Linked DNA regions of Diceros bicornis minor. The protein of the gene in region 3 binds, or shares a complex with, the protein of the main gene of each other region. Links are inferred from orthologs where the notes say so. Each region holds a gene or a part of one and is shown on either strand. Other genes may lie near its edges.

The links.
Region 1: the proteins of PDZK1 (region 3) and SLC15A2 are in contact, whole or in part, in a crystal structure (PDB 6EZI), measured with the Homo sapiens proteins. The link is inferred for Diceros bicornis minor from reciprocal best matches to the Homo sapiens genes PDZK1 and SLC15A2. Residues at the interface, in NP_001188254.1 of Homo sapiens: Asn386, Gly387, Tyr388, Gly389, Phe390, His391, Leu392, Asn393, Ala394, Ile395, Arg396, Gln407, Tyr436, Glu437, Val440, Ile443, Gln444; in NP_066568.3 of Homo sapiens: Glu723, Thr724, Lys725, Lys726, Thr727, Lys728, Leu729.
Region 2: the proteins of PDZK1 (region 3) and AKAP10 are in contact, whole or in part, in a crystal structure (PDB 3TMH), measured with the Homo sapiens proteins. The link is inferred for Diceros bicornis minor from reciprocal best matches to the Homo sapiens genes PDZK1 and AKAP10. Residues at the interface, in NP_001188254.1 of Homo sapiens: Asn386, Gly387, Tyr388, Gly389, Phe390, His391, Leu392, Asn393, Ala394, Ile395, Arg396, Phe402, Lys404, Tyr436, Glu437, Val440, Ile443, Gln444; in NP_009133.2 of Homo sapiens: Pro655, Leu656, Glu657, Lys658, Ser659, Thr660, Lys661, Leu662.

The regions. Positions count from the first base shown.
Region 1 is NC_080754.1:22,848,166-22,855,809, forward strand, and holds the start of SLC15A2 (solute carrier family 15 member 2), read left to right. Parts: upstream 1-4,575; 5' UTR 4,576-4,737; coding exon 4,738-4,875; intron 4,876-6,730; coding exon 6,731-6,818; intron 6,819-7,424; coding exon 7,425-7,566; intron 7,567-7,644. UniProt on the Homo sapiens protein: Proton-coupled amino-acid transporter that transports oligopeptides of 2 to 4 amino acids with a preference for dipeptides. Transports neutral and anionic dipeptides with a proton to peptide stoichiometry of 2:1 or 3:1.
Region 2 is NC_080757.1:3,134,232-3,141,891, reverse strand, and holds the start of AKAP10 (A-kinase anchor protein 10, mitochondrial), read right to left. Parts: upstream 3,049-7,660; 5' UTR 2,905-3,048; coding exon 2,817-2,904; intron 1-2,816. UniProt on the Homo sapiens protein: Differentially targeted protein that binds to type I and II regulatory subunits of protein kinase A and anchors them to the mitochondria or the plasma membrane.
Region 3 is NC_080743.1:53,251,860-53,259,468, forward strand, and holds the start of PDZK1 (Na(+)/H(+) exchange regulatory cofactor NHE-RF3), read right to left. Parts: upstream 3,065-7,609; 5' UTR 2,516-3,064; intron 1-2,515. UniProt on the Homo sapiens protein: A scaffold protein that connects plasma membrane proteins and regulatory components, regulating their surface expression in epithelial cells apical domains.

The DNA.
Region 1 (7,644 bases), on a different chromosome or scaffold from region 3:
ATATCATTCCTGTAATAATTACTTTAGTAATTTCCAATTTACTAAGAAATGAATCAAAATTAAGAATTCAAAGGGCCAGCCCGGTGGTGGTGTGGTTAAATTCACCTGCTCTGCTTTGGCACCCTGGGGTTTGCGGGTTCAGATCCCAGGCGCAGACCTACACACTGCTCATCAAGCCATGCTGTGGTAGCATCCCACATGCAAGCTAGAAGAAGATTGGCATAGATGTTAGCTCAGGGCCAGTCTTCCTCACCAAAAAAAAAAAAAAAGGAACTTAAGAATGAAAAATGCTGGGCAGTGGGGGTGGGCCAAGAGCTTAGCCCTACTAGCCTGAGGGTGCAATACTAGTTGGGGCAGTGATATTTCAGGCTGAGGCTATGTACATGTGCAGCAGAGACCAGCGATGCCTCAAGTTATTGACACACTCCTGATCAACCCTGAGGCCACATGCATGTGCACAGGATACTGAAAAAGGCCTGATAAGAAGTAAAATCTGGGAAGACTTGAAAACAGCCTGAACTTGGAATACACTCCCCTTCACATACAGGTCCATCAGCAAAGGACAAAGCCTCATTGGCTCAAGGTATTTGACCATAACCTCTGTCCAGTCTTTGACAACTTGGAGTAATACCTGCTACTTCACTTCCACCTCTCCAATCTCACTCAAGTTTTTCTGGCCTAGAACCGTACAGAGAAGATGATTCTGGGAAGCATAGTTCCTAGCTTAAAGTAAGTTGACAATAGCCAACCCTAAAACTGGAAACAACCCAAATGTCCATCAACAAAAGAATGGGGAAATAAATTGTGGCATAATTGTACAGTGCATTCTACCAACAATGGGAAAAAAAAAATCTTGTTACAGGCAATAACACAGATGAATCTCACAGATGTAGTGTTGAGTAACAGAAATCAAACACAGAGAATACAAATAGTATTATTCCACTTATGTGAAATTCAAAACAGGTGAAACAAATCTATGGTGATATAAGTTAGAATAGTGACTATCTTGGGGGAGGAGGGTTTGACTGGGAGACAGAAGGGAAGCAGTGAGTATTACTCTCTGAGGGACTTCCAGCACTGGGGTGCAAGAAATATATATATATATTTTTTATCTTATTTGGGTGATGGTTGTGTGAGTTACACATATGTAAAAAATAATGGAGTTTTACACTTAAGATTGTGCATTTTAAGTTTTATTTAATGTTAAAAGTCCACAAACAAAATCAACAGAAAAAATATTTGCCACATAGAAGCTTGCAGAGCATTAATATCAATAATATAGAAGAGCTCTTACAAACTTATGAGAAGGGGACAAACAACTCAACAAAAAAATGGGCAAAGGAAATGAATAGGCAGTTCCAAGAATTATAAGAACATATACTTTTGTCTTAGCAGTCTCACTTCTGGAAATTTATCCTACAGGTACCTGTGACTTGTATGGAAGATTATTATTGCAGTATTATTTATAACAGCAAAAAACTCAAAACAACCTGAATACGCATCCTTTTGTTACTGATTTTTGGAGTTACTGACAAAGTCTGGACACAAATCCTTTGAGAGGCATCTATAATATGAATATTTTCTCCCACTCTGTGAGTTGTCTTTTCACTCTTAATGGTGTCTTTTGGTGAACAAAAATTATTAATATTATTATTGTCCCACATATCAATTGTTTTTCTTTTATGGTTACCATATTTTATGTCTTGTTTAAGAAGTTGTGGCTTATTTCACAGCCATCAAGATGTTCTTATGTTTCCCTCTAAAAGCTTTATTTTTTTTAACTTTAACAAATCTGCAAGGTATATAGAATTGGTTATGTATGGTGTAAGATGAGGGTTAAAATAAGTTTTTTTCCATATGGATATCTGGATGGTGTTTATTTATTGAAAATACCATCATTTCCCCCACTGCACTGCAGTGTCACCTTTGTCACAAAAGATGCCTCAGTATTTGTGTGGATCTTTTCCTGCACTGTGTTCTGTTCCATTGGTTGCCTTATTTATCTTTATGTCGATTCCACTCTGTTATAATTACTGTAGCTTTGTAATAGGTCTTATGTTGGGTAATGCAAGTCTTCCACTGTTTTTCTTCAAGATTGCCTTTGTTAGTCTTGGTGTTTTCCATCTCCATATGACTTGAAAATCAACTTGTCATTTTCTATACTAACAAACCAGTTGGGATTTTGTGTTGAAACTATAGGTTGATTTGGGGAATGTTGACATCTTTACAATATGAGCTTTCCAAATCACGAGCATGGTATCCCTCTCCATTTATTTAGATATCCTTTAATTTCTTTCAATAACGTTTTATGGTGTTGAGTGTTGAGGTCTTAAACATCTTTCGTTAGATTTATTCCTAGGTATTTTTTATGCTATTATAGCTGGTATCTTTTTAAAAATTCCCTGTTCTATTTGTTTTTGCTGATATTTAAATACAATTTATTTTTGTGTGCTGATTTTACATTCATACACCTTGCTAAACACGTGTTCTCTTTTAATTTCATATTTACCTCTTCTGACTATATTAGTATCTGTCATTTTATAGCTTCAGTCTCCTTTCTGTACATGACTGTAAAATATCAATTTCTGCTGTCATAATCACTGAGGCCACAAATATTTTTTACTCTTACACTGATATTTTAGATTCTTCCATTTTCGTTATCTATTTTGTCTCTGAAAAAGGTTTGCTCATTTCTGTCTAGGAGTTGCTTTTTGATCTTTTCCCTTTCATCCTTCTATCTGATTTCAACTTGGCAAAATTGGTTGCCAAGAAGCATCTTGATATGATAGAAAGGGCTCTAGAATAGATCCCTCTAGAATATATATCATCCTAAATGACTCTTATCATCAAGGAAGCTTAGTTTACACAGGACAAGGTTAAGATTTCTTCCATCTCTGATATTTGATTCTATGAATGCTAGCATTGTATTGCCGTAATCAAAAGAAGAGTTTCATCTAAACAAAGGAGTATCAGAGAACCAATGCCAATACTCTAAAGTTTGGTATTTTGGGTACCTATGAACACAAATGAATTGGTGCATTGCACGCAGGTGCCATTCCATCTGCTCTGCCAGATCAAATGCTATCCTAGAGGTATAAGGCCAGAGCAAGGATAGCCACTGACAATTAGATCTTCAAGCCGTCTGTGCCTCTAGTGGTTATCTTGACTAGTAACTTCTAACTGTTCATTTGTTTTGCATCCAAAGTCACTAACCAAACTAGATCAGAAAGGGCATTACTTCCTGAAAGAATAACTACAGCTTAATCATTAATGCCACAGTCAGAAATGAAGCTGGACTCTTCTTTGGGTAAAGATTGATGGGAGAGAGGGGGGATGAGGGTGTAATAGAAGCTGGGAAGACATGGTCAAAGTCTGCGTTAGAGTTTAAGGAGGAAAGGGTAGAGTTTATCCTGGCCTTATTTGTCAATAAATTACTGAAATAGGTAGTGTAAGAAGTTTGTGAGGGATGAGTCATAATGTCTCTCTCATATTCTCAAATAAAATAATTCATTCTCCTGTTTTCTGACTTCCTTGTTGTTTTAGTCCTCATTTTTCTTACAGCTCTCTGGCCATTCTTTTCCTTTTTCTTTTGACTGACAGCTGAAAGGGCACCATACTCTTTTGTTCTTCTCTCACCTCTTTGACTTAGCAAAAATAATACTGTATGAGATGCACCTATCATCATCCTGCCTGTTCTTGTTCCTCCTCTGATAAGGACTAAGTATATTTCTGGAGTCATTTGGGAGTCCACCCACTGAAAATTAAGGAAATTGCTGTTTGTAATAGTACCTGGAAAATAACTGATTCATAATTTTTGTTCAAATTAAATTTTATTTATTAATGAAATGATAGATTCATCTTGAAGTGAGAAAGTGAAAACACAGGGAATGAATTTAGCAAAGGAGAAGAATGATTCCCAAATGTACATCACCAGCCCTTTCTCTCATTTTCTTTAGCCCCACCTCTTTAATTGCTTATAGGATATTTCTAGTTGGACTTTATTATGTTGAAAACCAAAATCAACATCTTTTCTATCTGACTAAATTAAATTTTATGATGACTTTCCCTCTTCAATGCATTTCAATTCCCCTACATTCCTACATTTCTCTTTGCATAGCCTCCATACCTGAATAATGACCGTAGGCATTACTGATGCTAATCTCGCTCATCTGTCATGGCATAGCAATTCTGGATCTGCTATTTACCAGCCATGTGACTTTCGACAATTTACTTAAGCTCTTGGGACATTAGTTCCCGTAAAATGGGGATAGTAGTAAGAATTAGAACATATATATATACATATATATACACACACACATTATATCTATATAGATATAATATATATGTAATACATAAATATTAACTTGCCCATAATAGGTGTTCAATAATTGGCTGCTATTGTTACCCTGAAATCAATTTTTTAATCTATGCTCCAGGCATTGTATTCTTAAATATGTTGTGCTCACTTGCAATCCTCCAGCATTTACTGGTCCCACCTTGTGATGTGTTGTTCTCACTTCCCCATGCTCTACCTTTTACATAATCATTCTTTTGAACTAGTCTCTGAGACGGAACCCTTTCTTTTCCTATAGCTTTCTGCTTTGCTCTGGGCTGCGCAGCTGCTGAAGCCCGACACCCACAGGGTTAAACCTAATTGCTGAAGCCACCCCCTCTTCCCCTCCCTGTCCCCCTTTTCACAGTAGGCTGGCAGCTGTCCCAACTGCCTACCGAAGCCAAATGCTTGAGGAGAGAGAGAGTAAGGAGCCAGCCATGAATCCTTTCCAGAAAAATGAGTCCAAAGAAACTCTTTTTTCACCTGTCTCCACTGAAGAGGTACCACCTCGACCCCCTAGCCTTCCAAAGAAGCCACCTCCGGTGAGTCCTCAGATTCAGTTCTGCCTCTGACAGGAACAGAATTGCTCTTCTGGTTCTCCTCCTTGGCCTCTGGAGCTTCAGGCTGAGCTGTATAAGGGTGTTAAAAACTATTCTTACTTGGAGTTAGGATTAACCTGAAAACAAAATCTGAATAGAAGTTTCCTTTACTTAGGAGAGGAAGCAGCAGGAAGAGGTAGTCAGAGTTCTTCAGTTCGGATCCAGGACTTTGCTGTATTTCATTGTATATTCTGAGTTTCTCTGGGGTGAAAAAAAAAGCAATTTGAATGTCCAGGGAAACTTGGCAAGCGCTCCTGTCTGGAGAACTGTGTGTGATTGTGCTTTCTTTACCAATATAAAAACTCAGCCCTTAGTTCCCCCTGTGCACAGAGTATATGCTGGATACCAAGAGAAGTTTTAGCATAGATCCAGTTTCTGTTACTATGTGTCCCAATTTACAGCGGGAGACAGGACAGAGAAGCAAAGAAGAAATAATAATGTTTTACATTATATACTTGTTAAAGCACTTCCAAATTCATTGTCTCATTTAATCCTTGTGTCAAAATCCTGTAAGTGGAGAGGATATAGTAACAATAGCCAGTATTTACCAAGTTCTTACTATGGGCAAAGAGGTGGTAGTATTCTATAGATAGCAGTTTCTTTGGAATAACAGAACTGAAACTTAAAGACAGGTGTAGTGACATGGCCAGGGTCAGTATGTTAACACAGCCAGTGATAGTGTTACATAACTAATGAAAGTGTGCTAACTAAACTCCAGGTTGCATGGTTCTCAAGCTGTGAGCTGGGAAGGTAGAAAGCTCAGTTCATTGTGTCTTTCAAGCAAGTTTTTATCATACATTAATATATATTAATATTTAAGAAGGTTTTATATATATATCCGTATGGGGAAAAGAATGAATACATTAATTTATTGCTTCTCTTTATTTATCTATTCATTTATTTATATCTCTTCTGGTCTCAAAGAATTTAAGGCTGCTTACAAAGGTGTATATACTTCTTTTGAATAAGAGGCAATAAAAATCTCATGATAAGATTTGACTGTCCCAAAGACAGATATCTCCATCCTTCTCTCATGTTAGTTGGGCTATCGTAATGGGTAGAAATTTGAAATAAAACATGATATTCCTTATATTCTGACTGATATAGTGTGTGAAATAGCATAGTCCTTTTAATGTCCAATATAATTAGCATGAAAATGTTATAGAATCTCTTTCATAGGAAGAGTGGACATTTAATTTTACAAGATTTAAGAACTCTCTGCCCAAGGTCAAGGTGATCAATTAGCTTCCCTTTCGGAACCTATAGTGGGCTCTCTGCCCGCTCCAGCATCCTCTGAATGGGAAGCCATCGTATTGCCAGGATTCTTCCCAGCATGGTGAACAGGGCAGATGGGGACAAGAGAGGTTAGTCCGCACAGTGAAGCTAAGCAGGATACCGGCATCTGAATGTAACTGCTTGGACATCAAGTTCTCCAGAGGCCAACTCTTTTTTCTGTTCCTAGAAATAAGTATGATTATTCTCTTGCCGAGAGCCCCAGGCTTTTCATTAGTAGTTGTGGGAAGATGAGCAGGTCCTGGTATCTCCAATCAAGGAATGTCTGAGCAGTTCCATGTTAAATAAATGAGGAACAAAGTTATATTCAAAATAGCTTCTATTACTCCTAAATCAGCAATGAAAGCACTTTTAGTGTGATAATAGCTGTTTCATGAAGAGTAGGGTCCATTGCTTCACGTTACCTATCATGGTGATTTAAAATAAATGATTTTTTCTGTTGTGGAGCAATCTACTGGTTTAAATAGGGAAAAACAGCTCACTCTTAAACCTTTTTGTTTCACAGAAAATCTGTGGCTCCAACTATCCACTGAGCATTGCCTTCATTGTGGTGAATGAATTCTGTGAGCGCTTTTCCTATTATGGCATGAAAGGTAATTTTGTGTCCCAGGGTCCTACTTTTCTCTGCTCACCCTCACCTCATGTTTGTAACAACCTGTTTACACTTATTTCCCTTATCCACTCTTTCTGCCCTCATCCAAATTGATCCTTTCCTTTGGCCAAGACTGCCAATGAATGCCTCATGGGATTTCACCTAGTAACTCATACAGGCCAAGAACAGAAAGGCCTACCAGAAACCAGAACACAGTCTGTGAGAATATAAGTGGGAAAACTCTCATCATCTGAGTTCCGCTCTTCATATCTGTTCCTGAGATCTATCAACTATATTGTTGCTGGGAAGGAGAAGAAAGGGATATTGGAAGCACCATGTTATCTTCATGAATGGGCTAAATGATGCTATGGGTACAAATAGACTAAAAGGAGGAGTATTGCATTTGTACATTAAGCATAGCCCCATTCACTCCCACAACTCCCATGGGCCCTGCTTCTACTGCCTGGCAGCCAACCCTCAGTCACTTCACCGATGGGAGTATTGAAGGTCAAGATCACCTTCAAAGACCAGAGATCAAATGTACTTCTCCATAAGTCACTTTAATGCCTTTTTTTTTTTTTTTTTTGTCTCCCTTTTTTCGCCTCAGCTGTATTGACCCTGTATTTCCTGTATTTCCTGCACTGGAATGAAGACACCTCCACATCTGTATACCACGCCTTCAGCAGCCTCTGTTATTTCACTCCCATCCTGGGAGCAGCCATTGCTGACTCATGGTTGGGAAAATTCAAGTAAGGAAGATGGGAAGCTTCGCAGATTAATTGTGCAGAGGTTATCACTTCTAGCCTCTTGCTTCCAAGGAGGAACAT
Region 2 (7,660 bases), on a different chromosome or scaffold from region 3:
GGATACAGCCATGAACAAAAATCAGCTTCCAGCATTATAAAATACAAAGTAAAGCAGATGGTGATATATGCTGTAGAGAAAGTAAGGCAAGGGGGGCAGGGGTGAGTGCAGGGGCCAGGGACTGCAATCTTAAATAGGATGGTCAGAGAAAGCTTCACTAAGATGCCAATTGATCAAAAACTTGAAGGACATGAGGGAGCAAAATAGGTGGGTATCTGTGAGAAGAGGGTTCTAGGCAGAGAGGACATGTGCAAAGTCCCTAAGGTGGGAATGTACTTGACAACAAGGAGGCCAATATAAATGGAAGAGTGATGAAGGGGAGCAGGAGATTATGGAGGGCCACTACAGGAAGCCACTTGAGGACTCTGAATAGAGGTGTGGCATATGTTTTGAAAACATACCATGGGGTCAAGGATGGAAGAAGGGAAACGAAATTGAAGGCTATAGCAAAATAATGCTGCTTCCTCGATTTTCACAAAACCGGCTTCCTCTTGACATTTAAGCTGAGATTCGAATGACATCCTCTCAGAGGACTTCCTTAACCACTCAATCTAAATAGAGATGACTGCCTAGACCAGGGTGTTAATGGTTAGGGATGGTGAGAAGTGGTTGGATTTGGATATGTTCTAGGGTATACCTAATAGACTTGCTGACGGATCAGATACAGAGGAGAGAAAGAGAAGTTCAAGAATGTACTCAAGTTTTAGCCTGAGTAATTAAAAGGCCAGAAATGCGATTTATTGAGATGAGAAAAAGTGATGAACAGGCTTAGGAGAACTAAATCTAGAGTTAAATTTTAGATATACTAGTAAGTTAAAGATTCATCTATTAGATAGTCTACTATATCTATTAACAGATATAACTATCTATTAGATATCTATTAGGTAGAAGTATAAAGTGGACCAACAGTTGGATATACCCGTCTGGATTCAGGGGAGAGAATCCAAGCTGGAGATGTAAATTTGGTAGTCATCAGCATATAGGTGGTATTTAAAAATGGTATTTAAAGACTCGATGGGATCCCTAAATAAGACCATCTTCAGCTTCTATTATTGCCACATCCAGTCTCCAAAAAGCATCTAGAATGATCTTTTTAAAACATAAAATAAGATCAAATCACTCCTCTTTAAAAATGTTTAAATAATATTGTCTCTGCACTTGGAATAAAACCTAACCATGGCCTATAAAGCTCTGAATCACCTGATCCTTGTCTACCTCTCTGAGCCCGAGTCACAGCAGCCTTCTTTCCTTTCTTGAAGGGCACCAAACTCTTTCTTGCCTCACGACCTTGGAGCATGCTATTCCCTGTGCCTAGAATGCTCTTCCCTGGCCTCTGAATGTTACCTCCTACTGATCCTTCAGCTCTAAGTTTCAAGGTCACCTGCTGAGACCTTTCTCTAACATCCAACTGAAATACGCTGCTTCTCTAAAAAAAAAGTTATCACTTTCATAACGCTACTCAATTTGCAAACAGAGACACATACACAGAGAGAGAAAGAGAGACTGATTCATTGTCTGTCTCCCCCTGCAGACAATAAGCTCCCTGGGTGCAGAGACTTTGCCCTGTTCAGTGCTCAATACTGAGGGCCTAGCACAGTGGCTGGCAAACAGAAGACATTCAAAAGTTATTTGTGGAACAGAGACAACAGTGTACTATGCAACACGCAATTTGTCTCATTATACATAGAATGCTTTTTTTCCCTTTAAAAAAAAACCTAAAAAACAACTAACACTTCAACGCTGTCAAACAAATTAGTGAGCTACTAACTCTACCAAGTTACTTTACCAATAAAGCCTCTTCATACCATTTTACCGGTTTCATTCATTCAGCACTGTTTTCATTCACTCATCACCTGACATCAGTTACTAAAACTCTGTATGTACTTAAAAGGAATTCTTTAACTCACAGTCAGAGTTGAATAGGGTCTTGAGAAATCATCTAATTCTCAGTTGAGGGAGAAGAGAAAAGTAGGTTAACACTTTTCTGCCCCCGGTTACAGAGTTAGTAGCAGAGCTGTCATGTGAACCCAAGTCCCTGATTTAGTTTAGTGCTTTTTCCAAAACCCGTTTTTGTCTGTAACATTTTCTCTGAAGCAACAAGAACTGAAAGAACCACTTTCATCCAAAAAGACCCACACCTGTTCACTTTGGATATATATTTTCAATGAAATGCAACCTTATGCAGGATCAAAATTAAGCTGCCTCTACTAAAGAACTGGGCAGCTATTACAACTGAAAATCAGACATATAAGTAATTTGTTTATAGAGTTCCAGTAGTTAGTAAACTTGCCAAGTCATCAAAAGTACTATTCTTCTTCATTAGGGAACTTTCCGCAATAAGTTAAGTAATGTTATTTTAGGAAGAGCCGAACCCTGCCCTCCACCCCCCAAAAAAGGGGAAACTGGAATATAGCACTAGTTAAAGAAAATTTTTTCACGTGTTGCTTTTAGACATAAAACCCTCAATATTCTGAAAAGTCAAAGACTTCCGTAACAAGGTACTAAAGGAATTTCCTTGTTCTCGATCCACAGTACACACACACAAACTCCGAAAAGCTGTTTTCACGCAAACAGGCATTAACTTGACGGGTTTCGGCAGACACTTCTGGACCAGCGAGGCAACTCCCCTCTGACCTCGCGCGGGGGCCACCGTCGCCCTCCCTGCAGAGTCCCGGCGCAGAGCGAGGCACGCAGGGGGCGTCTGCGCGGAGGCCGAGGGCCTCGCCGCCGCCCCGGAGCAAGCCCTAGAAGGCCCATCTGCCCCACCGCCGCCCCTGAGGCCCAACCTAGCTCCCCGCCGGCGCCCCTTCCGCTACCTTTCCGCCGGAAGAAGGACATGGCGGGGCCCGGGTCGGGGCGGAGGGCGCGGGGGGACTGTCGCGGGGAGGGCCCGGCTCCCCTCATTCAGTAACCGGCCCGGACTTCCGGGTCCGCAGCGGCCGCCGCGCTAGCAGGAAAAGAGACCCTTCTTCCGGGTTTGGGCCCCACCACCTCCTCGAGATGCCCAGGCAGCTCCTGCCGCCATATTATCAACAAGCCGCCCGCCCGGAGTTCCGGTCCTTCCCCGCGCGAGGCTTCACGGGAGGCCGCGCCGCCGGCCCCGCCCCCTCCCCGCCTCCTCCCGTGGGTGCGGGGGCACGCGCCGCCCACGTGACCGTGCGCACGCGGGCCTGCGCGCCGGGTTACCGAACTCCGCGCTAGCACCACGGCAGCTTCCTGGTGACTGGCGCGACCCCCGGTGGAGTGGCGCAGACCCGGTCCCTGCAAAACTAACCGTCCCGGAGCGGGAGCGCTCCCCTGGAGCTGGGGTGGCGCGGCGCCTCAGGCTCGGGGAGCCTGGCGGTGGGCACCCTTCAGAGCATGCCCTACTAAAGGGCAGGGCCAACACTGCCACGCTCCGGCTGAGCCCCTCCTGTAAGAGCAGCTTCTCCCAGCGCCGCCGGTCCCTGCTCTCCCCGGGAAGCAGACCCCTGGTCGCGCGCGTTCGAGGCGATCAGGGTTCCCGAATGGGGAATACGAGGCATAACCTGCTTTATGCGGCTCCACTGGCTCCGTCGGTCACAGTGACCTCAGCAAGGAGAAGTGGACTGACTTACAGAACCAAATCCCTGCGAATGCTCAAATTTGAAAGGGACAGCAACATAACAGCCTCGCCAATATTTACCAGGCAAACTCAAGTGAAGCATCCTTCAAGCCTTGTTCAAATGCTATTTTCCAGTGAGTCTCTGGCTCTCCATCTGCCCCTAAAGCAGAGTGAAACAAGCCTGCCTGCGCTCAGTGCCCCTCACCACCCCTGAGTGCGCTCAGCAGCCGTGAGCTCCTGCGGGGAAGGAGTCTGGAAGACAGTAGCACTCAATAAATGTTCACTGGGTTTTTTAAATCAATGAAGTCCATCATGTGACGGATGGGGGCAACTTGTCCACGGTTATTCAGTGTGTCAGTGTTGAGACTAACTAGAACCTCTGGTCTTTTCACATATAATTAGATCAAGTTAATAGGTTTGTCTCTTCTGGTTCGGGCTATTTGAGAGTTTACTATGCACGGGATCTGTGCTAAACCCTCCAGATTAATAATAGTCCTTGGAGTCGGTCTTGGTGTGGGGAAAACTAGGCACAGAAAAATAGCTTGCCCAAGCTCACAAGCTAACTAGAGTTGAAGCCTGGATTTCCAATCGAGAGAGTGGGCCTCCAGAGCCCCAGGTGAAGCGTGTCCTGGAGTAAGGAGAGTGTGTAGGGGCAAGAGGAAGAGAGACTGGTCAAGGCTCTGGATGCCAGAGTGTATCCTCCAACTGAGCTGGTGCTGACAGTGTGTCCTCCCCGCCTCAGCGGAGGCTGCAGGGGAGTCTGGGCGGTGTCCCTGGGGGGATCAGAGGTGTCCTGGAAACCAGCATGCCCTCGGGGGACCACTCTCTCCTATCTGTGGCCAACAAAACTACGGATCATGCCCCCTTCTCCCAGGAAAGGGAATTGGCTGCAGTCAAGGAGGAGCCGGGCTGGGGTGCAATCTAAGTGGGCTTTCTCCGCTGGATCAGTGAAGGGGGAGAAGTAGTATCTAGCAGAGGTGTAGGAATAGGGAGTCGACGCTCTTAGCGGGAAAGCACAGCGTCCTTCTCTCTCCTTCCCTGCGGGAGTCCAGTGCCCTGGCAGCAGCCTCTTGTATTTGTTGGCTGGTTAGTTGCTTGGGACGGGAGGGGGGAGTGCAAGAAATCCCCTAAATATCGCCAGAATAGGAGCAATGCCGAGGAGTATGGGGGAAGTGCTCTAGTCTCTCTAAATCTCAAATCCTTCCTCGTTCTCTCCAACTAAGCATAGAATCAATGTAAAAGCAGTGTCCTGCCCTGCCTTCCAATGTGATTACTGCTCTTGAGCCCCTCCTAACAGAAATTCTGGAGCTGTCCTTATTCCCCCAGGCAGCTGAATACATCCCAGTCAGGTAATAATAGCCGTCATTATTTATTAAGTACTTATTATGTGCTCTCAATGTACTAAGTGCTTTATAATCACAGTCTCAGTTCTTTACCTTCTTGCCCCAAAAAGATCCTGTGAGATGGCTACCATCATTACTCACAATTTACAGATGATGACCCTGAGAATCAGAGTAATTTACCCAGGATTACAAGGCTAGTAAGGGGTAGAGACAAGATTTCAATCACTGTCAGACTCCCGAGCCATTTGCTTATACCACTTCCTCCAATCTTTTCCTCCAGTTCCAGCTGAGATCCATTCGTCCAGTGTTCCAGCATGGGCTGTCTATTTATTGGACAAGTATAAGGGGATGGGTGATATCCAGCAGTGCAGATGCCTTCTGAATCATCACCCATTAAAGTGTTCCTGCGCTTAGGGAAACTTTAAGAGTATTATCATTTAATCTTTTGGAATTTGATGATCCACATTTGAACAAAGTTAAAATAAACCAAGAATATAAAAATAAACAAGAATGTCCCATTAGCCTGAATACCCAGTTGTGGCAAAGTGACACTCTGCATTGCATTTCTAAGTGAATTTGTTGGAGCCACTTTAATTTATATGTAAAACAAAATAAATTTTTACCAGAAGGTATTGCTTTAATTATGTTCCTAATTTTAAGGGAATCCTCACAGTCTTTTTATACCAGTTGTATCAATTACAACAAATCAGTGAGGTAAAATCAACAAGTTAATTATCACAAAGCCAGTGAATACAATCAATCTCCTATGACAAACACTGTTTACAAATATAATGAACAGGGTTCTACAACAAACATTCTAAAAAATTTGGCTTTCTATATCTAACATTCATAACCTCAAGGAAACTATTCAAACAAATCTTTTGATATTATAGGAAAAGAAAGCTCCTTGTACCTTTTCAGTAAACAGATAAAAACAAACTCAGATTTATGACAAGATTCAGAATATATATTTATATGCTTAAAGTTCTCTTCAACTGTCTAAATAAAGGCTAATGCTTAACCCAGTGTTTTACATTCTCAAAAGCATTTGCATCAATAGCTTTGTAAAATTATCTCTAAAAAACTTGTGACCTATGATTTTAGTTTTAATCAAAGCCGAATCAAAGCAATTTTGGCTTAACATAATTTATTTCTTCTATAGTCTCTAATCATTCCAGATAAATGGGAGTTTAGTGCACATTTTTTCCATCAAAGGAACCCAAAACAAGTAGTCAGGAGAGTTTAACAATAATCTCTTAAATTTGCATAGCAGAGACTTCCACTTCTAATAACAGTGGAGCAGGTAATTTGGACTAGCCACCTGCTGAGAAAAACTAAAGAAGGTGAACAAAATATTTAAAAATATTGAGGCAATAAGAAGGTAATGAAGAATTACCAGGTGAAATTTGAGAATAAAAACAAAATCCAGTGAATTAAGTCCTGCATTTGGGACCTCTTGCTCTGGGAGCTTTGACTGTTCATGAAAAAGAGACTGAGAAGCTGAGTGATAGTGTCACAGACTAGAGGACAGAAGTTGGAGCCCAGAGCCTGCTTTGGGTTGGGATTCTGAAAAAGCTACACCAGAGGTAAACCAGCCCATGCTGGGATTGCAACCCAGCTTCAAGTCATCTGTGTGGCCCAGGAAATCTTAATACCTAACAGTAAATTAAGAAATCCTGATTGCTGGTGCCCTCGGTGCTTGATAGAAACAAATGAATTCCTATTGGAACAAGATAACATCACCGAAGATCTCAAATTATTTCCACAGACAATTTTTCAAATGTAATGTCTGGCACACAATCACAGATATCAGGCACGTGAGGAGACAAGATGTTAGGAATAAGAGCCAAGAGAAATGACAAGCCACAGAAATAGTCACATGGGAGCTCCAGATGGAATTATTGGACATAGATTTTAATATCACTATGCTTACTATGATCAAGGATATAAAAAACAAGATTGGAAATTTGGGCAGAGAACTGGAAACTATAAAAACTGACAGAGTGTATATGAAAAAGAAGCAACTAGAAATTCTAGCACTGAAAAACAACTGAAACTAAGAATTAAACAGATGGATCTGTAAGCAGAGTTACAGCTAAAGAGAGTTTGTGAAATGGAAGACAGGTCAGAAGAAAATATCCAGAATGAAGATGTAGAAGGCTAAGAGACATGGAGGATACAGTGAGGTTTGCCATATGTTTGATCAAAGTCCCAGAAGGGGAGAAGAGAAAGAATCTAGCGGAGGAAGTATTTGACAATTTTCCTGAAGTGATGACAGAAAACAACCTACCAATTTGAGAATCGTTATGAACTCCAAACAAAATAAATAAAAAGAAATCCACACCTAGATTATTAGTAATAAGACTTCAAGAAATAAAAAACAAAGAAAAATGATTAAAAATAGCTGGGAGTGGGGAAACAGATTATCTTCAAAGAAATGACACTTAGGCAGCTGATATTTTCAACACCTACAGTGGAAGCCAGAAGACTGTGGAATTAAATCTTCAATGTGCTGGAAAAAGTAACTACCAATCTGGAATCCTATACCCATAAAAAATATATTTCAAAGATAACACAAAATAAGATATTTTCAGAAAACAACAACAACAAAAAATGTCACCAGTAAAGTTTTGGCCAGAGCAATTAGGCAAGAAAAAGGAATAAAAGGAAGCCAAATAGGTAACGAAGAAGTGAAATGCTCACTATTTGCAGATGACATGATTTTATATATAGA
Region 3 (7,609 bases):
CAGGAATGGTGAATGGTTCAGAAAGCCCAGAGAGTAGGTGTATGTTCAAGGAAGAAGGTCAGGTTAGACTGTGAAGCACCTTAAGCTCAATCCTTTGGATTGCAGAAGAGCTTCATGTCATGTGAGGCTTGCAGCCTCAGAAGCTGGAGGCTGTCTCAGACCAAGAGCAAAGCCTCGGTAGCTGCCATTGAGTAGGCTAGGGGCTATCTTTCCTACTTATCAAAACTCCTTGTCACTGCCTGGGTTCTTTCCTTCCCTGGGGCTATGCCCCTCACAAAGCTGTCTGATGATCACCAGAACAGTAATATTTAAGGTGTGCTAGGCACTATGTGCAGTCTCGCATCTAATCCTCATAACATTAGGAACGAGGTTCTATTATGCTCATTTGACCAATGAGGAAATAGAGACTTAGAGATTAAGAATATGCCTGCTCTAGAAGGCAGGTTTCCAATTTCAATACCCATGCCCTCAATCACTTCGCCATGATACACACCAGGCAAAGAGATTAAGGAAATCTGGGCAGTCCCTCATGAAGAGCCAAGGAAAGGAGTTACTGAGATCTGGAAGAAAACATGTCTAGCTCTAACTTGCTACTCTCATCAAATTCCTTTGCAACAGATATGAAAATCATTTAACCAAGACATGACCAGAGATGCCCATTCCCACATGATCAGACCCAGACCTCAGATGACCTGAGAGAGTATCAGAGTTCTGCAGCCTCTTCTCCCTAAAAGCAGCTTCTCAAAACCTCCCGATTCTATTCTTGCAGCTCCTGCCCTGCCACACTAACTTCCATTTATCCAAATATCTAAGCACCTACTCTATGTCAGGTGTTGTCCTCAGAGCTGGGATTATAGCAGGTACCACAAAGGACAATAACCCTGCTCTCTTAAAGCTAAACATCTGGCAAAGGGGGCAAATAAAAAGCAAACAAGATGATTTCTGATGATAAAGGCTATGAATGATGAAATATAGTGGTGGAGTTGGGGGAGGCTGATTTAGGAAGCCCTTCTTGGGGAGGTAACATCTGAATTCATACCCAAATGACAAGGAGGAGGCAGCCTTGAAAACTCCAGGATCCACCTTATACTTGGTGGGCTGAAAAGGACATTAGTGATCAGCTAGTCTCAACTCTTTATTTACCAGTGAATAAAGAAAAGCTTGATGAGGTGAAAAGACTGGGACAAGGTCTCCCCACTGACTGCAAGGCTGTTTCTTCCCACTTTTCCATGAAGCCTTTGGATATACACATTTGAGTGTAAGCACCTTATGTTTGTGCTTTTAATCCCCTCAAACACACCATATTTGTAATTTTATTTTCAGTACAGCCTTGGGGAAAAGACGAGAGGCCTTCATTTGATAGATGATGAAATTGAGGCTCCAGTTGGCTAAGTGACTTGTCTAATGGTCTGTCACTAACAACTAAAGCAAAATGCAGGTTCTTTGTACTCTAGTCCTGTGTCCTCTCCCCTGGATGGGAAGGAGCTGTCTAGCCAGTGGTCCATGAACATAAGACATCATTACTAGCAACTTCATGGGTAATGGTTCAAATAACATACAAAAGAGTCAAAGATAAGAAAAATTTACTTAGTCATAACACACAAACTCAAAGTCCCTGAGTTATTTGCTGTAGAAAAGAACATGTGACCAGGGAACTAGACAGCCATGTCCTGAGACAATCAGCCCCCATGACGTCTGAATACAGACTGCAAGCTCATCGGTGCAACACTGCAGGGACAGCTAAAGAGGACTGTTCTTGAGGAGCCAGCCCAGCCCTGAGCTGGTGTCTCCTGAGCTGAGCATGAAAGTCACATTTAAGTCCCTGGACTCTTCTGTATAGGAAGTAAGCTACTAGTGCTTCCCAAACCTGCCTGCCAGAATCATCTGGGGGAATGTTAAAAAAACAAAGATTTTCAGAACAACACAAGACCCAAAGAATTAGAAACTCCAAAGTGTAGAGCCTGGAGATCTATGTTTTAAAATTCAGCCAGCCTAGAAATCCACTGGTTTTTCCTCACTTCTTAGTGCTATAACATGATGAAAAGAGGAGAGATGCCTGCTTTTATTATCCAGTGGGAAAGTTAAATTAGATTTTATCCCTTAAGGGCTGCTTCCAAAAGAAAATCTCTAATACCCAGACCCCTGACCTAGTGGGAAGTTCCTGTGAGTATCTTCCTGGTGACCTGTGAAGTCTGTTATCTCACTCTCCTTGGCTACACATCAAGCCCCCATGCAACCCTGGGAAAGCTTTTTCCGAGGCTCAGTTTACCATTGCCTTTGTAAAGCAGACCCTAACCTGTAGGGGTCGGGGCATCACAAGCAGAAAGGATCTCAGAGTACAGACAATCCCTCACCCCACCACCACCACCAATAGGCCCGGCTCCTTCCCCATGTGCCTCTCTTTGGCCCTGGACAGCCAGCTACTGCTTGGAAAAGGAAAAAGGAAAAGAAAGAAGGTGGTTCAGGCCCAGGTGGCCAGCACCCTCAGTCAGGGGGATGCAGAGACTCTCCTTACCTGGATCTAGGGGGAAGAGGAGCTGCTCCGGTCACTCGGGAATTTTCTCTCTGCTGGTGAGCTCTAGTCTTGGAACTCCGTGGACTTTGAACAAAGATTGATTTAAAAGCTGATGTATTTAACAGGGACTTGTGGTCTGAGTTCAAGTGACCTCTGTCCTGCTTTCTGCCAGCTGGGTGGGCCCTGAGCTGGGCAAACCTGAAAAACGCTCAGCAAACCCAATGCTCTGACCCACCTGCTTAACTGTGTGGGATGTCGCTGCTTGCCTGCTCCTCCCAGAGAAGAGGAGGGGAGAGAAGAGGGAAGGACAGCCAGGGAGGAGATGTCTTTGCCTTCCTCAGTTCTTTCACTTTGGCTAATACCTTGGTCACACCCAACCAACACCCAATGCGTTAAGAGCCTCCACTGTCCCCATCCCAAGGTCAGGGCTGAGGGTCATCACCCAAGTATCTTCATGTACTGAGGCCATCCTGGGGAGCAGTAACCTGTGCAACCCCCACCCTGTAGAAGGTCAGCAGGCCAATAAGCCCCAGTAAATGAAGCAAAGCTCCTCGTGTGCCCATCCTTCCTTTCCTCCACCGGGGAATTCTTCCTCGCATGCTTCCTAGGAGTTCAGCATAAAGCCCCTGCTATGATTTCCCAGGCTCCCTTCCTCTTCTTACACACTCTCTCTTCTCTGTCTCTCTCTTTTTTCCTCTCTATCTCACTGAGGGTGCTCTGTTTCTATTCTCCAACCTACTGACAATTGTCTTCCCCTTCCACACACTCAGAGCCTCTCAGGCAAGCCCAGCGGGGAAGGTGGAATGCATTTCCACAAGCTCCTCGGCTGGCTGCCTCAGCAGTGCCCTGCTCCACCCCTCATCCCAGACAGGAGCAGCAGCTGATCCCTATCAGCAGCACCCACACAGGCAGACCTAGCCTTGGGCTTTTCACTGACCTGGATCCTCAGCCCACACTGGAAATCAGGGCAAGAGATTGCTCCAGGCAGTGAGGCAAAGAGACCACAGGCTGAGGACAGGGTGGCCTCACCTTCCTCCACCCACGCTGGAAGGGCCACTCGTCTTCGCTGGGCCTTGGCTCTCCCCAGCAAAGGCATGGCCCGAGCCAGAGGGTAAATTGTCAAAAGGGACCAACATCTGAGCCGCTAACCCAGATCAGGTCATCTCCACCTTAACACTATGTCCCTTGGGCCTCCTGTATGTCTTCTGAAGCAGAAGTGTAGAATGGGAAAACCTGGATTCAAGATCAGAATGCCTGACTCTGCCACTTCCAGGTGTTGCATCTAGAGTAATTTATTTTTAACTCTGAGTCTCACTTGCCTTCATCACCTATAAATAGTTGTTTTTTAGAAATTTTTTTATATTGAGTCAAAATATCTCTCACCTCTGCCTGTAAGTCCTAATGGTTCCCTCTGGAGCTGTTCTACAGAGCAGCCCTTCAAATATTTGAAGGCTGTTATATCCCCCATAAGTCTTCTTTTCTCTGGGATTCCATGAATGCCCCTCATTCCTTAACATGGTCTGCCTATGCCATGACTTCAAAACTTCTCACCCTGGACGCCAGCCAATTGGTCAATGTCCGTCTTCAAATCAGGGGTCTAAAGGGGAAACTTTAAGGTGATGGAATTGTTCTATATCTTAAGTGTGGGAATGGCTATGCAATTGACTACAATTACCAAATTTCATCAAGCTATCACCTAAAATATGTGGATTATATTCCATGTAAATAATACCTTAATTTTTAAATTAAGGAGCCTGTCAGTAAATTTATTCTTGAAACTTCTAAAATAAAAAAATTTGGATGACAACAAAGTCAATCTTCATTCAAGAAGCTTCTCAGACTCACCCTTTATCCCAGCACAGATGGAACAAACAGCCACAAGCCTTCAGACTGGAAATAGAAGAGGCCCTAACATGCAGAGACAGTGTTCATTCAAAATTAAATAGAAATGAGCAATTGTTTTTTTTAAAAAATGACAAAACCCTTTCCCAGTGAAATTGATACCAAACCTCTTAATCTCAAATCCATGTGCCTGATATATAGTAAGCCAATCACGGAGACACCTGGTGCTTGGAGATAGAGAAAGGTTTATTCGAATTGGCCAAAATGAGAAGGCGAGAGGATAGGTTCTCTCAAATTCACCTTCACAAGACAAGAAAGCAGGGGGTTTTATAGAGCTAAGGGGCTTGGCAGGAGGAGTTTTGGAGAAACAAAGGGGTAACCCCAGGTTTCTTTCACTCCAGATAAGCCATTGGGCAATCTGACTTCTGGGCATCAGTGGCAGCTGGGGGCTGTTTTTCTGGTGACTGTAACTTCCTTGAAGGCATTCTATTTCTTCTGTAAAACAAGCTCATAAATCCTTGTGACCCTTGAGTCACCCCTCAGGTTGAGCAAGAAAACAGCAACTTGACAAGACTAACTTCTTTTCATCTATGTCTGTGCTGGGAACTAGGTCGAAAGGTAATCCTGCCCTTATTGAATATTGATAGTAACCCTCAGGTACCACGCTTCAGAATGTTGAACTGAATGAGATGAGCCCTCACTAAAATTTGGATTTAAAAAAATCTCATGGCTATAAGTAGATCTGCTCAGATTAATGCTAAGCAGAGTAACTCTTTTTGTTGATTACTTAGATCTAGACACTAGTGAGAAGGTAAAATGACATTATTTATTGTGTGCCTGGTAAGCCTTTATATCTATTATTCTATTTAACCCTCAGCATGACCCGATGAGATGATATTCCCATTTTACAGATAAGAAAGCTTAATTCATGGGGGTAATTATCCTGCCCAAGATCACCTGGCTCAGAAGGATTAAGGACCCTGTCTGTCTCCTTAGGTAGTGTTGTTTTGCCTCTAGGATAGGCTTCCCACCAGCCAGGGAAAAAATGTGCTCTCCTTCCCTAGAGGTATTCAAGCAGAGGCTGGTGGTGTTCTGTGTCATGTTACAGAAAGATGTCCTGCTTTGTGAGGGAGATTGGAGTAGGCAATTTCTTGGATCCCTTCCAATTCTAAGATTCTGTGATCCTAAATACCATGGGTCCTAAGACAACCTTCCCCATGAGAGTGTGTAGTATAAGTCCTGGGTGCATGTAGGTAAGAGTTATGAGCATGGGCTTTGGTATCAAACAGCTACTGAATCCTAAATCTGCCATCAATAAGTTTTGTATTTTTTTATTGTGAGCTCAAGTTTGTCTGGGCTTTGTCTATGGGAACCCTTGGCAGCCTGGGTGGAGGATTTTCTCTTGTTTTTGTCCAACAGCCCTTCTCCATATCCCTAGAATGACAAGGAGAGGCACTAAAAACTTGGAGCCAATTTGTGTTAGTTGCTTGCCTTGGTGTTTCCAGATCTTGCAAACAATTAATGTCAGTTACAACCTCAGCCCCCCTCCCCCTAAAAGCAGAGCTATGGTTGGGAATTTCCAGGAGAGATCTGTTTTTTTCTTCCCAGAGTCCAGGCCAAGATAGATAGTTTCCCTGTTACCCATGATCAGTTTTTCCCTGTTCTGTTTTTTCATAAATATATCCCCCTTCATCTTACTTATATATTACGTTTATGGATTATGTTATGTCTCTCTATTATCTCTGTCTCTCAGAATATAATTTCCCCAGGAACAGGCATGCCTATTTATTTTCTTGCTGTGTCCCAAGTGCCTGGAATATAAGCCTAGCTTATAGCAAGCTTTCAAAAAATGTTACTGAATGGATGAGTGAATAAATGAATCTCCTTTTGCCAGCAGGACTGGTTTTTAGCCCACCTTTCACTAAGAATGTAGCCTTCAGAGAGTCTCAGCTCTATGCAGGGTATCAGTTCCTGGGTCTTACCTCCTGTGCCAAAGTGACCCTGCTTGGTTACCGGTTTTCAGCTTTCTCTTCACTTCTGGACCTGAGAGATTTCTTTCCTTTCTTTCAAGTTCAACTATCTATTTGAAAAAAATGTTTGATATATTTTACCTAGTATTTCTATGAACTATGTAGAGGGAGGGTTTTCAGATTATCTAGTCTGCCGTGTTTCCAGAAATAGTTCTGTCACTTAGCAGCTACTTTGCCTTTCAAAGCTCCAGTTTTTTCATCTGTAAAACACAGGTAATATAACAAGCTCATAGGATTTCTTGGAGACTTAAGTAAGAAAACATTTGTAAATCACCCAGAACCTGGTAAATGCTCAGTATATAACATTGTTATTATTGTTTTTGCAAGTTATGCCCTCATAATTCATGGGCACACATTGTACAACAGAGTCATGGAAATAAACGGGCTAGAAGTATACAGTGGGCGACTCAGGAGTTCAGGATGTTTGGGGCATTGTGGATGGCATGCTTGCCCACTCACAACTCAGCGCTTTGTAAAACTGGTCAGAAACAGAAAACTAGAAAGACTTCCCAGTGCTTCCCAATACTTTCCCCTCCACGTCACAAAACAAATTGATAAGAGTTGTATAGTTCACCGGGGTAAATAGATGAGGCATTACAAGGCTAGGGTGACCTGCCTAGGGCCAGCTGCCCCAAGCTCTGCCCAGACTCCCTAAAGATCGAGGGCATCAATATTTTGGCATATTCTTAGAAAACTATAAAACATCACTGAGAGCAACTAAAGAAAACTTAAGTAAATGAAGATTATACCATATTCATGGGTTGAATCTTCAACACTGTAAAGATGTTAATTCTCTCTAAACTGATCTACAGATTAATGCATTTCCAATCAAACTTCCCACAGGGTTTGTTTGTTTATTTGCTTGTTTGTTTGGTGGAACTTGACAAGCTAGTTCTGAAAAATTGGAATAAGGAAGCTGTAGTGGGTAATAAGACAGTAGAGTGATAGTAATTACTACAACATGGCATGGACACAAGATAGACAAATGGACCAATAGAATAGACTAGAGAGCCCCAAACAGACCAATACAAATAAAAACAGCTGATTCATGACAAAGAACAGAGGGAAAGGCTGTTCTTTTTCAATAAATTGTTCTGGCACATTCCTTTTGGGTCTGGTTTATTTCATTCAATATGATATTTGTGAGATACATCCATGTTGCTGTGTGTAGCTATGGTTCATCTGTTTTCCTTCTGGGATTCCACTTATATAATGCCCAAAT